Tamandua tetradactyla: one gene and its partner. The protein of the gene in region 1 interacts with the protein of each later gene in a pairwise test. Links are inferred from orthologs where the notes say so. Each region holds a gene or a part of one and is shown in the gene's direction. Other genes may lie near its edges.

Region 1 (7,328 bases):
GTGTCGCACCTCAAGCAGCAGCTCCGGGGAGGCTACACCGGGCTGGATCAGGCAGCCAAGTAGGCTCCCGATGGCCGGCCAGTTGACAGATGCAGCCAGCGCCTTGCGGAGCAGCTCCAGCAGCTCCCGGGGGGACAGGTAGCCGCCCACCAGGAAGCGGTCCCAGGGGCTGCTCCCACGGGGGCGAAACTCCAGCTGTGTCCTGCGCACGGCCCAGCAGCGGGGGTCTCCGGCCACGGTGTCCGTACCCGGTACCAGGCCCCACAGGCCTGGCTCCAGCACCAGGGGGGCCAGGAGGCGCACGGGGTCAGCCACCCCCACCTGCAGCCCGTCATAGAGCGGCCCGCCCGGCTCCAGGGCCCCGAAGGGTAGCATTGGGAACTTAGCCCGCAGGTAGGTCTGCAGCTCCAAGCCAATGTCTCTGGCCAACTGTTTGGCTAACGCCTCGGTGGCAGCGGGGACGGCCACATGGTCCCGCTCGAAGGCCAGCAGCTTCTCCTGGAAGGTTAGGCACAGCGGAACAGGGCTGCCGAGCCACGGGGTCGGGCGAGCACCAGTGTCTGCAGGATGGGTGTCACTGGGCGCCTCTGCGAGGTCGGGAGAAGGTGAGAACGCACGAGCTGCAGTACTCTGCCCGACTCCCAGTGGCATGACAGCAGATAGGCCCACGGCAGGCCCAGCCCAGGGAGCCCGTGGCCCCAGTTCTCCCAAACCACGGCTGCCTGGTGACCCCCACACCCTCACCCTGCAGTTACTACACGGAACTGGGGAACGCTGCCCCCACCGCTCTGGACAGGCGCCCCTTTGGGCCTGGTGTTCCGCACTGGAAGCTCCCACCCCCAATTCCCACGTCCCTGCCATGAGCACTCTGCTGCCTCGCCACACCCCACCCAACACAGACACGTCATGGTTGGTGGGAGGACAGTGAATCCCACTGTTCACTAACCATTCGGGGAGAGCACCACCCACCCCGAGTGCCTGGAACCTGCCCGGGTCACACCACCAGCAGCAGAGCCTGGACTGACTCCAGGAGAACCCCAAAGGGAACCCCTGCATCCTGGGAGAAGGGCTGTGGCTCACCTGCAGCAGCAGGGGCTGGGGACAGGAGGGGCCGGCTGAGGGGGACAGGAGGCAGCTGGGGGTGCAGGCGCGGCGTGGCCCTGAGCAGGTTCAGCTCCTTCCAGCTATCCTCCAGGCAAGTGGGTTCCAACTTGGCGTCATCCTCATCCCGTGGGCTGGTGGCCCTGTCAATGAGCTGGAGGCAGAGACACAGGTCGGGTCGCCGGGGTCCAGGCACAGCTCCAGGTGGGACACACCGAGCTACTGGGGGACTGAAATGCACCCCACCGGCCCCCTGCTGGGACCTACCCAGTACAGCCTTACCCGCTTTACAGCCAGGGTGGCGATGCCCAGTACTGCAGCCCCACCCATGCCCAGCACCAGGCGGGCATTGGCCAGGAGGAAGTCCACAGCAGTGCCGAAGATGTCACCGTCGGGCCGCTTCCCCCGCTTCTGGGAGAATTCAGCCATGGTCTGCTGGGAGAGAACCAGGTGTGCGTGTGTGCATGCACATGTGTGTGCACATCTGTGTATGTGTGCATGCGTGCATGTGGGCAGCCCCAGTGGAGAAGCTAGGACTGCCAGGGGGTGGCCCAGGGCAGGCAGGGATGGGCAGAGGGCTCCTGCAGCCATCCTGCTGGGGCACTTAGTCAAGCCCATGACAGCTTCCCAGGAGAAAAGGGCTACGTGTATGGTTTCTTGGGAGATCAGGGTGCTGCCCAAGGCCCTGCTCCCCCAAACCTGCACACCACTGCCTGCAGGAAAAGGGGGATTCATGCAGACTGGCTCCTCCCCAGAGGAGTGAGTCGGAGTCACCACCAGCTTTTCCCTGATCACACAGTGAGCAGTGGGGGCACAAACCCGCAAACATACAGCGTGTGGCACCCCAGTGTTTCCTGCTGGCCCCTGAGTCTACTTGGTCCTCTCTGACCCACGAGCCCAGCTCAGAGCCTGCCGCAGCCCTAGAGCTCTGGTTTCCAACCAGGGCTGGGTAGACTCCCAGTGTAGACAGGTGGGGAGGAGTTAAGGGGACCTCAGCAAGACTCAGGGGCCACACTCCCAGCCCTGAATGCTGACAGGGCACCCCCAGGACAGGCAGAGGGGGCCGGCCTTGGCTCCAGGCAGCAGAGGGCACGCGCAAGTCCTGCTACGTGCAGGGGCAGTGAGCAAGGAAGCTTTTTAGAGCTCAGACGTGAGACTGCCCAGTGGCTTGGGGACAGAGGGACAGCTGTCATCAGCTGCTAGGAGGCCACGCACCCCAGAAGTTAAGGTCAGGGTCAGCAGCGCCACCCACTTCCTCCCCTGCAAAACAGCCAAAGGTGGTGGACAGAAAGGATCAGAAGGAGGGAGTCCGCAGGTGTCTTCTGGGCAGGCTCAGGCAGGTGAGAAGAGGCAGGGCCCTGACCCAGCCCCACATTCTAAGGGAGACCCGGCCTCAGGCTCTGCCCACCAAGCCCACCTGCTGAGGGAGAGGGGCGGCTACAGGGCCAGCGTGGGGCCCCGGGCCTGCAGGAGGGACAAACACACACCAGGCAGGACTGTCCAGTCCGGGAGGCCGAAGCCCGCGTCATGAAGTCACGGCCGGCTGGGGCCCTGGGGACGCAGCCCTCCCGGCCTGCCAGGTGCCCGCCGAAGCCCGGGCCAGGGAGTGACTCATTCCCAAGCACCTACCCACCCGCCCAGGCTAAAAATAGAACAAGAGGTCTCAGGGGCCGCGCGAGGACACCGGCCAGCCGGCTGACCAGTCCGCCGGGCGGCCGGTTTGTCCACCGGGGGTTCACCCGCCTCCACTTCGCGAACTGTACACCGATTTGAACACCTCCCTCCTGGCTACGCAGGCGCCCGCCCAGCGCCGGCGGCCGAGCAGGCCCCGGCCCCGGCCCGGGCCCCAGCCCCAGGAGCCGGCGCGGGGGGCAGGCGTGACCCCTCCCTCCTCCGCCCGGCCCGCCCCCACGCGAGGAACCCGCGTCCCGGAGACCGAGGGGCTTGCCCAACACGGGATTCGAGCGCGGGCGGCGGGCCCCGAGGCGCTGCCCCCGCCCCGCCGTACCCAGGTCGCGGCCCCGCGAACGGGCCCCAGCGCGAAGCGGGCCCCGCCCGGCCCACCTGGGAATGGAACGCGGCAGAGCCGGGAGGCGCGCGCCGGGGCCGGGGTCGGAGGAGGCGGGCGGTGACCCCCAGAGGCACGCAGACGAGGAAGCCGAGCTCCAACGAGAGCGCACAGCGCCCCGCCCACGTGCCAAAATACTGCGCAGCTCAGCCAATGGGCACCTGGCCACGCCCCCCGCCCGGCGCGACTTCCTCTCGACTTAAAGGCCGAGGACTCCATTTCGAGCCCGCGGCGGGCTGGGAAGTGGAGGCTGGGAGGCCTGTCCCGGCGCGTGGAATGAGCGGCCCCCAGGGCCCGTTGTGACTTGGGTGCCCTGGGATAGTGAGCCTGGGGGTGAAGAAAGCTCTCTGGGCCCACGTTTCTCCCGGGACCACTTGCCGGGCGCCCTGAGGTCACCTGCCAGAAACCTGAGGGCATTTCAGGATTACCTGCTGGCCCACCTGGTGACCTGGGGTGAGGGGGTGTGTCCATGCTCCACAGGCCTCAGTTTTCCCTTCTGTAAAGCAGGGCCCCGCACGGCGTGGCTGAAAACAGCAGCAGCTGGGAAATGCCCGGCCTGCTCTGGGGTCGCTGGACTGCGCCCGGACCCCGCCCCTGTGGGAGCTGCATTCGGGGGGCCACGAGGCGGGAGATCGCGGGAACACACCTGGGGGAGCTCATGCCCAGCAGGGATAGCAAACACGTGCACCATTGGGCGCCTGCTGTATGCTGGGAGTTCCACGTGGAGGTGGGGGTGCGTCTGGCCTTAGGAAGCGTTTCACAGATGCGGCCGCAGGTATAGGGTGGCCCGGGCCAAGCCCTGGGGCAGGCAGGGGCGCCTCGGGAACGGGCCCCCGAACCCCTCAAACCCAGTCGGACGACTGCAGCAACATCCCCGGGTCCCGCCGCGGGGTTCTCGGAGCCGACGCTGAACCCTGCCGCCGTCAGAGGAGCCGAAGCCAAGGCCCTCCCCGCCCCGAGACCCGGCGATCCCCGCGGGCAGGCGCGTTCCCGCGGCAGGGCGGTCCGGGGCGCGGGTGCGGCGGGCGCGGGCGGGTTAAAGGGGCGGAGCCGGCGGCGGAGGCCCAGCCCGCGGCCGCCTCCCGGATCCGCCCTGCGCGCCCTGCCCGGCCGCCGGCGACAGCGGCGCCATGGAGGCCACCGGGGTGCTGCCGTTCGTGCGCGGCGTGGACCTCAGCGGCAACGACTTCAAGGTGAGCCGGCCGGGCCTGCTCGCGGGCGCTGCGCCTCCTCCGCCGCGGGCCCAGCCGCCCCCCGCTCCTCGGCCGCCCGCGGGGCCCTGCGCGCGGCCGCGATCGCCGGCCGGGCCGGGGTGTGGCCCTCCGGGCGCTCCGGGACCGTCCCCGCGCCCTGCCCCGAGCCGGAGTCCGCGGCCCCGAGGCCCGGCGCGCTGCCCGGGCGGGAGGACGGCTCTCAGGCCGGGCTGCGAGAAGAGGGGCCTCTCGGCGGGGGCGACCCTGGGCCGGCCGGCGGGCCCCTGTTCACGCCGCCCCAGCCCCAGTCGTGCCCCTCGGAGGCCGCACCGCCCAGCCAGGCCCTGACTCACGCCCGCGCTGCCCCGCCCCGCCGCCACCCCTGGCCACATCCTGTGCGGTGTTGGGCCAGACACTTCCTCCTCGGAGACCCGGGCTTGCTCTCCGGGAGGAGGGTCTCCCTGCAGCCCTTCCTGGGAGTGTCCGGAGGGCGTGATAAGTTGCTTGGAGGGTGTGCAGGCCGGTGTGAGCCCCGGTGGTGTGGGTCTGCCTCTCTTACCGGCCCCCTCCCCACCCCTGCCCCCTACCTGGCGCTGCCCAGTTGGAGGGCAAGAGGAGGTTGTCCTGGAGAGAATCGGGAATGGGGTGGGCTGGGCTGTGACTCCAGAGAAGGGCCGCAGCTGAGAGCTGGCCTGGTGGGGGGATGTGTGGCTGCAGTGTGCGGGGCAGGTATGGGCCTGGGGCTGTTAGGTGGGGGTCTGAGGGCCCCCCACCCCTCCCCCGCTCTGCCTGGGGTTGGGCGTCAGCCTGGGGCTCGCTCCTCCTGCATCTCCCAGCAAACCACCACACCTTTGACTCCCATGCCCAGGCGTGGGCTGACTGCATGTCACCCTGTCCCCCATCCCCACGGGGTCTCCAGGTGTCCTCTCTGCACTAGGAGAGGCTGCATTACAGACTGGGAAGATGGCCATAGGGGAAAGGGGACACCAGCCAGGGGCACGGAGAGCACTCTTTGTCCCAGACCTCCTCCCCCAAGCAGGGAGGGGCTGTCACTGCAGACCCGAACCCCCCAGCCCCCATCTGCCCATGTGCACCTGGGGCATTCGAATACTGGGAGTCCATGGGGGTGGCAAGCCGAGGCCTCAGCACAGTGGGGTCAGGACCTGGTGGGGGTGTGAGGGGGTGGGCTGTGCTGCGAGACAAAGTGCAAATCTGGAACGTACCTCAGCCAGGTACTGTCCTGTCCGGGTCCTCCCCGGGCTCAGAGTCCAGTGGGACAAATAGATCTCAGGCCACCAACCACACCTACAGTTAGTCCATCCTCACAACACTTGTCATGTGAGGGCTTTTATTAGCCCCATGTCATGGGTAAGGAAATTGATGAAGTGACTCGTCCAGGGTCACCCAGATGGGTGGGTGGTGGAGTGGGGGTACCGGGAGGGGGTGCCTCCCTTCTCCAGACATGCCTACCATGGCACTCCGTGGCTACACAGGGTGGCTACTTCCCTGAGAATGTCAAGTCCATGACCAGCTTGCGATGGCTGAAGCTGAACCGCACGGGTCTCTGCTACCTCCCAGAGGAGCTGGCCGCTCTGCAGAAGCTGGTAAGGGGCTTCAGGCGGGGAGCAGGAGGGTGTCCCTGTGAATGAGCCTGGGCTGGGTGGAAAGGGTGGCCAGCACAGGAGGAACACTCTGACAGTCGTGGTCAGAGGTGGCTGAGAGGGAGTAAGCACCCTGTCATGGGAGGTGTGCAAGAAGAGGTCAGGCCTGTGAGTGAGGAGAAGGCAGAGATAGACTGGGCCTGCGTGGCCGAGGCCCCTCCCCCCATGGGGTACAAGGCTGCAGTGGTGGGCAGGACATGTGTGGACCCCATCCAGCCTGCTGAGCCCGTCTCCCTTCCTGCCCCAGGAGCACTTGTCTGTGAGCCACAACAACCTGACCACACTTCATGGAGAGCTGTCCAGCCTGCCATCACTTCGGGTGAGTGCTGGGGGGAGGGGGAGGCCTCCAGGCACAGGGGTGAGGTATTGACGAGCATGGAGGGGTGCCAGACATGGGAGGGGCCTAGGGGCAGGCGCTGGTATCCTGCCCGGAGAGGAAGGGCAAGGCCAGATCCCCGGCCGGGCCAGCATTTCTGTCTACCCCCATATGAGAATCAGGGGCCGAGGCATAAAGAAGGGAAGACATAATAATGCTTGTGTAAGGTGAGGCGTGTGAGTTGGAGAAGGCCAGAGTGGAAAAGAAGAAAAGAAGTCCTGATTACCCACTTTGGGTTGTAACAACGCAGTAGTAGTAAATCATTTAACCCTGGTTTCCACCTATTTTGGGAGGGGAGAAACTTAAGCTCAGAGGTCAGGTCACACCTGGCAGTGGTGGGGCTGGTAGGGTGAGCTTAGTTGGGGTGGGAGGGTCAGAGGGGAGCCCCTGGACAACGAGGATCAGGTCCACAGCCAGTGACCTGAGAGGTTTAGGGCACAGCCTCTGGGCCAAGGCTGCCCAAGTTCAAATGTGAACTCTGCCATTTTCCGGCTGCATGACCTTAGACAAGTCACTTCAGCTTCCTGGGCCCCAAGTGCAAGTAGGGTGGAATGGCACTGAGTAAGCCTTAGTGGCTATTATCATTCTTACCACTGCTTCTTACAATCATGGGACAACCTCCTCCACCCCCACGAACTTCCTGTAGGTCTGCGGTATGTGGAAGTTCCACCCAGGGGGTCAGAAAGCAGACTGCAGCTCTGCTGTCTTCCTCTCAGTCCACACACTGATTTCTCTTTGGTCGCTCCATTCTAGAAACCTTGACTCAGATCTAGAAAAGGTTCCCTGAGGGCCCTGTGCTGGGCTGTGAGGTACATTTGAGCTGGGCTTTGAGGTATGAGTAAGAGCCTGCCAGGCGGAAGAGGTCCAGAGGTGTGACAGCACTCAGGCAGCCTTCCTGAAGGAAGTGTCCCTCTCCAGCCTTGGGGGTG
Region 2 (8,107 bases), on another chromosome or scaffold:
CTGCTGGTGAACATCTGGGTTGTTTGGTGCTTTTGGCTTTTATGAATCAAACTGTCACAAGCATTCTTGTCCATCTCTTTTTTCTGTGATCTCTTTTTTGGGGGCGTGGGGGCAGGCACCGGGAAATGCATCCAGGTCTTGGGCATGGCAGGCGAGAATTCTGTCACTGAGCCACCATTGCACTGCCCTGTGCATCTCTTTTTAAGGACATGTTTTCATTTCTCTTGGCAAATACCAGAGTGGAATGCCTGGAGCATACATTAGATGCATGTTTATAAGAAACTCCCAGACAGTGTTCCAAACCAGCTGCACAGTTTTAAACTCCCACCAGCGATGTATGAGAATTCCACTTGGTGAGAATGTCAGCCTAACCAACATGTGGGTCTGCCAGTCTTTTTAATTTTAGACTTTCTAATGGGTGTGAAGTGACATCTTACTGTGGTTTTATTTTATTTTATTTTTTAAAATATATTTATTAATTAAAAAATTAAGAAACAAAATAAAACATCAACATACATAATCAGTAATTCACAATATCATCACTTAGTTGCATATTCATCATTTCTTAGAACATTTGCATTAATTCAGAAAAAGAAATAAAAGGACAATAGAAAAAGAAATAAAACAAACAGAAAGAAAGAAAAAAAAAGATTATACCTACCATACCCCTTCCCCCTTGCTTTCATTGATCACTAGCATTTCAAACTAAATTTATTTTAGCATTTGTTCCCCCTATTATTTATTTTTATTCCATATGTTCTACTCCTTTGTTGACAAGGTAGATAAAAGGAGCATCAGACACAAGGTTTTCACAATCACACAGTCACATTGTGACAGCTGTATCATTATTCAATCATCCTCAAGAAACATGGCTACTGGAACACAGCTCTACATTTTCAGGCAGTTTCCTCCAGCCTCTCCACTACGTTTTGAATAACAAGATGATATCTACTTATTGCATAAGAATAACCTCCAGGACAACCTCTCGCCTCTGTTTGGAATCTCTCAGCCATTGACACTTTGTCTCATTTCACTCTCTTCCCTTTTGGTCCAGAAGGTTTTCTCAATCCCTTGATGTTAAGTCTCAGCTCATTCTAGGGTTTTTCTCAATTCCTTGATGCTGAGTCTCAGCTCATTCCAGGATCTCTGTCTCACGTTGCCAGGAAGGTCCACACCCCTGGGAGTCATGTCCCACGTAGAGAGGGGGAGGGTGTTGAGACTGCTCATTGTGTTGGCTAGAGAGAGAGGTGTGGTTTTATTTTGCATATCCTGATGATAAAAATGTTGAGCACTTTTTCATGTGCTTTTTGGACATTTTTGTCTATCTTCTTATATGAAGAGTATGTTTAAGTTTTTAAGTTTTTGCTCATTACTTAAGTAGTCTGTTTTTTTTTTTTATTGCTTTTTGGGAGCTCTTTATATATTCCGGATACAAGTGCTTTGTCACATCTATGCATTATGGATATTTCCTCCCAGTTTGTGTCTTGTGTTTGCATTTTCATAATGGAGGTTTTCTTTTAACATTTTTTCAATTGTAAAATATAACATATATATACAGAAAAGGATTGTATATTGGACATAGTGTGCAATATCTTGCAGAGACTCAGGATTCTGTTATTTTCTTTTGAAGTGTATTAAATTTGGTTCTAGCAGGTAGTCAAATGACCTTGACCTTACATATCACCTTGATCATGTTGAAACTTGATTATGGACTTTGTTACGGTGCATCTATTCTGTTTTTTTCTGTTATTCCGAGGTCTTACCCTGATATCCTGGAAAGTGGTCTTACTACTAAGGCATAGCCCTTCTGGGGTTTCAGTGAAAAATGCAAGGTGTTTACCAAGTCCCTCTAATTTGGAAGCACTTGAAACTCCTAACTTCTTCCCAGCACTGGGAAGCTGCAGAAATTTCTTCTCAACTTTTTTCAGGGATTCCAGCTGCTGCTTCTTTCTGAGTTGCTTGGAGTCTTGCCCCCCCCCCCCCCCCCCCCATAGCTGAGGCTCAGGACGCTGCCATGGTTTCAAGATAAGTCAGCATACAGTTCAACCGCTATGGGTCCTCCTCTTCTGGGATTTTCCCCACTGATTTCCAGCTTTACTGATAGCCCCAAACCCTGAGGTCTGATTGCTCAGTTCAATGGTGGTATCACAAAAATGCAGAATGGGGGCAGAAATGAAGGAAAAGGGAAAATTTGGCATGTGATCGGATTTAGGGTAGAACGGAGCAAGATGGATCCAAGATGATTCCAAAGCCTGTGCTAGCTGGATAACAGGGACTGGGGAAAGCAAGGCTGGAGCACCAGTGAACTAGGTTTGGGTTGGGGCCACATGATGGCTTCCTCAGGGGACCCACTTGAATGACCTTTGGCGTACCCTCTGCCCAGCGGGCAGACTAAATGACCCCTCTGTGATGTACGGTGACTGCTCTCCCCAGCCAGCCAGGAGGAATGAGCTCCTCAACAAAGGGACCATTGTTTCAGGGCGGAGACTCCATGTGGGTACCACTGGGGTGTGAGGTGCCCCCTTACCAAGGCTGCCTTGGCTACCTCCACTTTCTGGTGAACTCCTTCCTCAAATTAGCCCCTGTATTTCTGTGACAGGGCTTGGTACCAAGCTTGGAGATGAGCATATGGATTCTCCGATCCTGGGCCATGACAGCTGTGATGTGTTTTCTCTGTCACCTGGGCTGAAATCCCTCATGTAGGTAGTATAATTGTTTGGGATTTGGTAAGGGGTGGAATAGGAGAAGAGCTCCATGGAAGGGGTTGAGGCAGTGCTGGTAGCTCAGTTACGTGGGGGTATAGTCTTCTAGGTCAGTGCAGACTCATGGACTTCCGAGCTTTAGAGGCTGAGGGCCCAAGGAGGAGAGACAGCAAAGCTTCCCTGTGAGCCCAAGGCTTGGCCTGCTGGGTGGTGTCTCAATGGTCTCTATCTCCCTCCAGAGCATCCCAAGCACTGGGGGCCCACAAAGCTGCTTAATGCCCCTTGCCCACCTCTCCCAGTGCCCTAGCAGGAGCTGCTGCCTCCCTCCTCCATACATTCCAGACTGAAGCCTTTGCAGGCCGGAACCAGGGGACCGACTGTGGGCTGAGCCCTGCAACAGGTTCCTTGCCTGGGCTGCTCAATCTTGACAAGGCAGATGTCAGGATTTTCACTGAAAGGCGAGAACTAGCCTGGTCTGAGATCACATCAGAGCAGGGAGATGTACATGGCCCATAGACAAAGAACTCACGATGTCATGGCCCATTTGGTGCCAGGAGCCCAGGGGAGCCAGCCTGAGCAAAGCCACAGAATCATCGCAGCTGCACCTTGAGTGTGGGAATGGTGAGCAGGGCTGGGGACAGGGGAAGGGATGACCCCTCAAGGTTTCTTCCAGTACGGATTATGTGACCAGAGGATTACCGGACCCTATGCTGGGTGAAGGGGGCATAGATCCAAACAACAGCTATCTCTCAGGGCCTCCGAGGTACCAGGTGTACTGCCACGCTCTGAGAAGACAGGACTGACAAGCTTAGGGCCCCAAGCACTGTGTGCCCTGCCAGTCCCCCCACCCCACCCCAGGAGTCCCTCAGGTGTCGTGAGCTCCCTGCTACTGCAGGGCCCCCTGTGGTCCCTCCTTCACCCAGCTGCCAGGTTACCTTCACAACCACCCAAGCCAACCTGGTCCCATCACTTGGTTGGAAATACTCCAAAAACATTAACTGTCCTTTCCTCTGGGCGGGAGGGGGGGGGGAGTTACAGGTGACTCCCTACTCCCCCTCCTCTCCACCCTCCCCTCCCTCCATTCCTCCCAAAGTCCAGCGGCCTTAGAGCTCCCCCCACACCCGGAACACATGGGAACCGATGCCGACTGAGCTTGTGTAGGGTCCTTTCTTCCCATCCCATCCTGAGGGCCAAGTACTCGACTTCTACCTATTACACTGGACAAGAAGGCAAGGGCTTTGTACGCCTTACCTAATTCTCCAATTTATTTTTAAGTCCACCTGTGGGGATGAAGAACAGAAGCTTCAGAGAGCTTTTTCAACAAGTATTCACTGCCAGCAGCTGTGTGACAGGCCCATTCCTAAGAGTGCAGGGACAGGACCCTGCTTTCGGGGGTGCAGACCCTGGGGAGGGGCGCCGCGATCCTTCTGCACAGGGATAAGCAGGCCCCGGAGGAGGCTGGCCACGGTCCCGCAGCCCCGCAGCGGCGCCATCGGACCGCACCTGGGCCTGACCGCAGAGCCGGGTTCCCTCCCGTGGCGCGGAACTCACCGGCCCTGCGCCGCCCCTCCGCACAACCCCTCCGTGCAACCCCCGGCCTGAGAGCCTTCCCGCGCCCCGCGGAGGTCGCAGCTGCACCGACGCCCACGGCCCTGGCGCCAGTCGCTGCGCCTTCCCCCGCCGGCCTGAGATTCTCCGGGGGCCGCCACCGATCTCCAGGACCCCTACCCCGGCCCCTCTGCTCCCTCGGCGTTCCCCGCCGACCCTGATCCCCGCTGTCCCCGCCGCCGTCCTCCCGGCCCGTCCCTCGCTGTCGCCGAGCCCAGCCTGTTCGTCCCCTACCCCGCGGTTCTCCCGGGCGCCTCGACATCTCCCGGGTCCTGAGCCTCCTGACCCCCGCGACCCCTTGTCCTCCGCGGCCCTCGCGCCCGGCCGCTCGCGCCCAGCGCCCAGCTCTCCCGGTCGTCCCCGTCCCCGCCCTCGCGCCCGACCGCTAGCACAAGGACGCCCTAGGTCCCACTGCGTCCCCGGATCCGTTAGGTTCCCCGGCCTCCCCGCGTCCCCGTCCCCGTCCCCGCGCCCCCGCGCCCGGCCCGCTCGTCCCCGCGCCCGCTGACGCCATGACGCCGCGGCGGAGGGAGGGGCGCGGGCGAGGCCGGAGGGGCCGGCGCGCGGGGCGCGGGGCGCGGGGCGCGGGAGGCGGCGGCGCGGCCGATGGACATGGGCACGCAGGGCTCGGGGCGCAGGCGGCCCCCCACGCGCGAGCGGCTGACGGCGGAGGACGACGCGCTGAGCCGGGTCGCGCGCGAGGTGAGTTCCGGGCCCTTGGGCGGGGGCGGGGGCGGGGGCGTCCCTCGGCTGGGCGGCCCCGCACGCGGAGCCCGGGTCACGACCTCGGCGGCCGCGGGGAACAGGCCGGCCACGCGGCCCCCGGCTCGGAGCCCGGCCCCGGGGCAGCCGGGTTGGGAACGCTGCGGGCGGGCAGGGCGGCCCGGGCTCGGCCGGGTGGGGACGAGCGCGCCGCTGTGTGGAACCGCAGGGGGGGCGGCCGGGGGCCTAAGCAGGGATGGGGGCCGGTCTCCCGAGGCCCGAGGCCCGCATGGTCCTGCCCAAGGCGCTGTCTGGCGTCTGTCGTCGCCGGGAGGCTGGGTGCCGCCTGGGGTGCACTTGGGGGTCACTGTGGAGCCTGTTTCTGCCCTGAGCTTGCGAGCGGGTCGGGCGCACCAGAGGCCGTCGTCAGGTTCTTGGGCTGAGAGATCACATTCGGCCATGAACTTGGTCAGGACCACTTAGCCGGGCATGGTGGTCACAGGTCTGCAGGAGTCGCTTTCTCGTCCCCGTGGGTTCAACGTTAAGGGTAAACTATGTAAGAAACAGCCCAGCTCATAGTACATGTCTGTAGATATCTGTTGTATTAATAAGCAAAAAAAGTACAAAGCTAAATATAAATATTTGCTGAATGCAGCACCTTAAATATCATGCGCTCCTGTGAAGACATCGTTTATGAGTAAGGCGGTAAGAGCACACGAGTGTTTCTGGGGGACCCCGGCCGGGGGTAGTTCGAATGACCACTGGGCTGTGTTCTCCAGGTCAGTGTTTAAGGGAGAGGAATGAGAAGAATGAGAGTTCCCAGGCTCCCCCTTCTTATCGGCTGGTTTTGATAAAAATAGATTGAAACTAAAGGCCCGGGAATTCACCCTGGCTTGATGGGCACTTGTGGTCCTGCCTGACCGGGAACTCACTGTCTTACCTCCCACCTAGGGACACAGGGTTTGGCGAGATAGAGTAGACTTTGGAGTCCGACCTGACCTGGGTTTTGAAACTGCACAGATCCCCACCAGCCGTGTGGGTCTCAGGAAGGACCTCCTCTGAACTTGTGTTTTCCTGTTCTCTGAGAAGGAAAAAGAACCCCCCGTGGCTGTCAAAATGGAAGGCAAGTTGCGTCTGGAAAGTGCATAATTAGGTGCTGGGTCACTCTGTGATCTCCTGCACACACCCTCAGATAGGAATCAGCCGTGGGCTCCTAGTGATTTATTTATAAGGTTGGAGGTAGCTGGTGCAACATTTTGTGTTCTGCTGCAAATTGATTTCTGTATCCCAGCTGTGGTATTTAGAATCACCTGGCCAGTATCTAGTCGTCCTCGAGTTCCTGAGAGTTCTTATACAAATTAACAAGGTTTTCCTAGATAAATTTAATGCTTCTTTACTCACTCATAGCACGATGTTTAAATCACTGTCATAGGGAGACTGGGGGGTCAGGACTGAATCCCACATGGACCTGGCCTCGAGGAGCTGTGCTGGGAGGGAGTAATGGCCGATAGATAAATAACAACAGAAAACTAGAAAGGATCTGGTTTGAAAAGGACCAGAATGCACTGCTGTGAGATTCGGAAATGAGTGCATTTCATCTTGCTTTTGGGACCAGGAGTGGTGATCAGAGGCGGCTTCCTGGAGGAAGTGGCATTTTGAGCTGTTTGAAGGATGTATCAGGATGCTTTGATGCCAGTGACGGGGACAGTCACGTGGCAGCTCTGGCTCCTTTTCTCCCGGCACCCCTGCAAGGTCCCCCTACAGGTGGCTGTCCTTGCACTGGCTTGTGCCACACCGGCCTGCGTGGCGGCACCCCCAGGCCTCCCTCCTGCCCACACCCTGGCTGTCTGCGGGCCTCCTGCCCATTCTTGAGCCAGGCTCAGTGGCGGGCAGTTGACTTGAGGCCCCACTGGGCCCTGGGCAAGGGGTATGGCTGGATGCAGTAGCCCATCAGGCCCATTCCTGGAGCCCGTGGAAAGCGTGGGGTCCTGCGTGGAAACAGGACCCCTTAGGGAGGAGGAGGAGGTGCCGGGCAGTCCTGACAGGCATTGAGGAATGTGCAATCTGGAAGGTGAGCGGGGTCAGCAGGACGTCAGAGTCTCAGGGAAGGCTCCATCCCCCAGTGAGGGGGAGTGCGGGACACGGCTGCCGCTGGGAGGCCTCATGGGGACTGGACAGATTGTGGGGTCCTCATGGGGACTGGAAGGTTGGGGGGTCCTCATGGGGAATGGACAGGTTGGGGGGCCCTCGTGGCGAGCTCAGCGCTCTCTGCTGAGGGGTTGGACCTTCCTGGTAGGAAGCAGTGAAGGGGGAGCGTCTGAAGTGTCGCCTTTACCTCCTGGAGTTACGCTGTGGTCTCTGCCGTGGGTGACTTCCCTGAGAACCGGGTGTTATTTCTCGGTGCCATTGGTCTGGGCGTGAGCAGGCTGGGGGTCCGCCCTGTCAGGGTGGCTTTGGGAAGCAGAGGGGGCTGCTGTCCCACGGACCCGGACTGCGCCTGGCATATCCTGGGCAGAGGGGTTCTCAAAGCAGCTGTTTTTTTTCCCATCACGTTTAACTTCCTGCTGGCAATTTTTGGTGGCAACCCAGATTTCTATTTAGCCTCCTTCCCCGGAGGAAAACGAAATTGCTCTCCCGATGCCTGGAGCAGCTCTCAGTATTTCTCTCCGATGCAGACATCATTCCTGAATGAGAAAGGTGCTGTGAAAGCTCCTGGGGAGCAGTCTGCAGACCTTGGGAAGTTGCCGTGAGTTTGGCACTCGGCGGGGCCCCGACATGCTTGGGGCACCCCTCTTCTCCAAGACGGCGCCCCAAGGCGCTCACCCCGCCCAGGGCTCCCAGCCACCCCTTCCTTTGAGGCGCTGCGGCCACACAGAAGCCACCTTCCCGGGCAGGGGCACCTGTGACCTCCCACCTCTGCCCACCCGGGCTGCCTTGACCGGTGACTGAGCAGTCTGGGGGAACTGAAAGCCCTGCACCGTGCTCCAGCACTCCGGGGGTCAGGCCTGGGCAGGTGGCCTCATGCCCTCGGCCACCACCCGCCCCGTCCTGCCTCCGGCTCTCTCCAAACCCCGGCCTCAGACTCGGCTTCTGGG

Evidence for each region.
Region 2: the proteins of FLII (region 1) and LRRFIP1 interact in binary tests that used the Homo sapiens proteins (3 or more experiments, as listed by UniProt). The link is inferred for Tamandua tetradactyla from reciprocal best matches to the Homo sapiens genes FLII and LRRFIP1.

What each region holds. Positions count from the first base shown.
Region 1 is NC_135332.1:1,890,529-1,897,856, reverse strand, and holds the start of FLII (protein flightless-1 homolog), read left to right. Parts: upstream 1-4,256; 5' UTR 4,257-4,299; coding exon 4,300-4,362; intron 4,363-5,855; coding exon 5,856-5,966; intron 5,967-6,270; coding exon 6,271-6,342; intron 6,343-7,328. Other genes in the region: MIEF2 (mitochondrial dynamics protein MID49), read right to left, coding at 1-587, 1,081-1,255, 1,384-1,536, 3,816-3,860. UniProt on the Homo sapiens protein: Is a regulator of actin polymerization, required for proper myofibril organization and regulation of the length of sarcomeric thin filaments. It also plays a role in the assembly of cardiomyocyte cell adhesion complexes.
Region 2 is NC_135329.1:215,514,308-215,522,414, reverse strand, and holds the start of LRRFIP1 (leucine-rich repeat flightless-interacting protein 1), read left to right. Parts: upstream 1-4,916; coding exon 4,917-5,012; intron 5,013-8,107.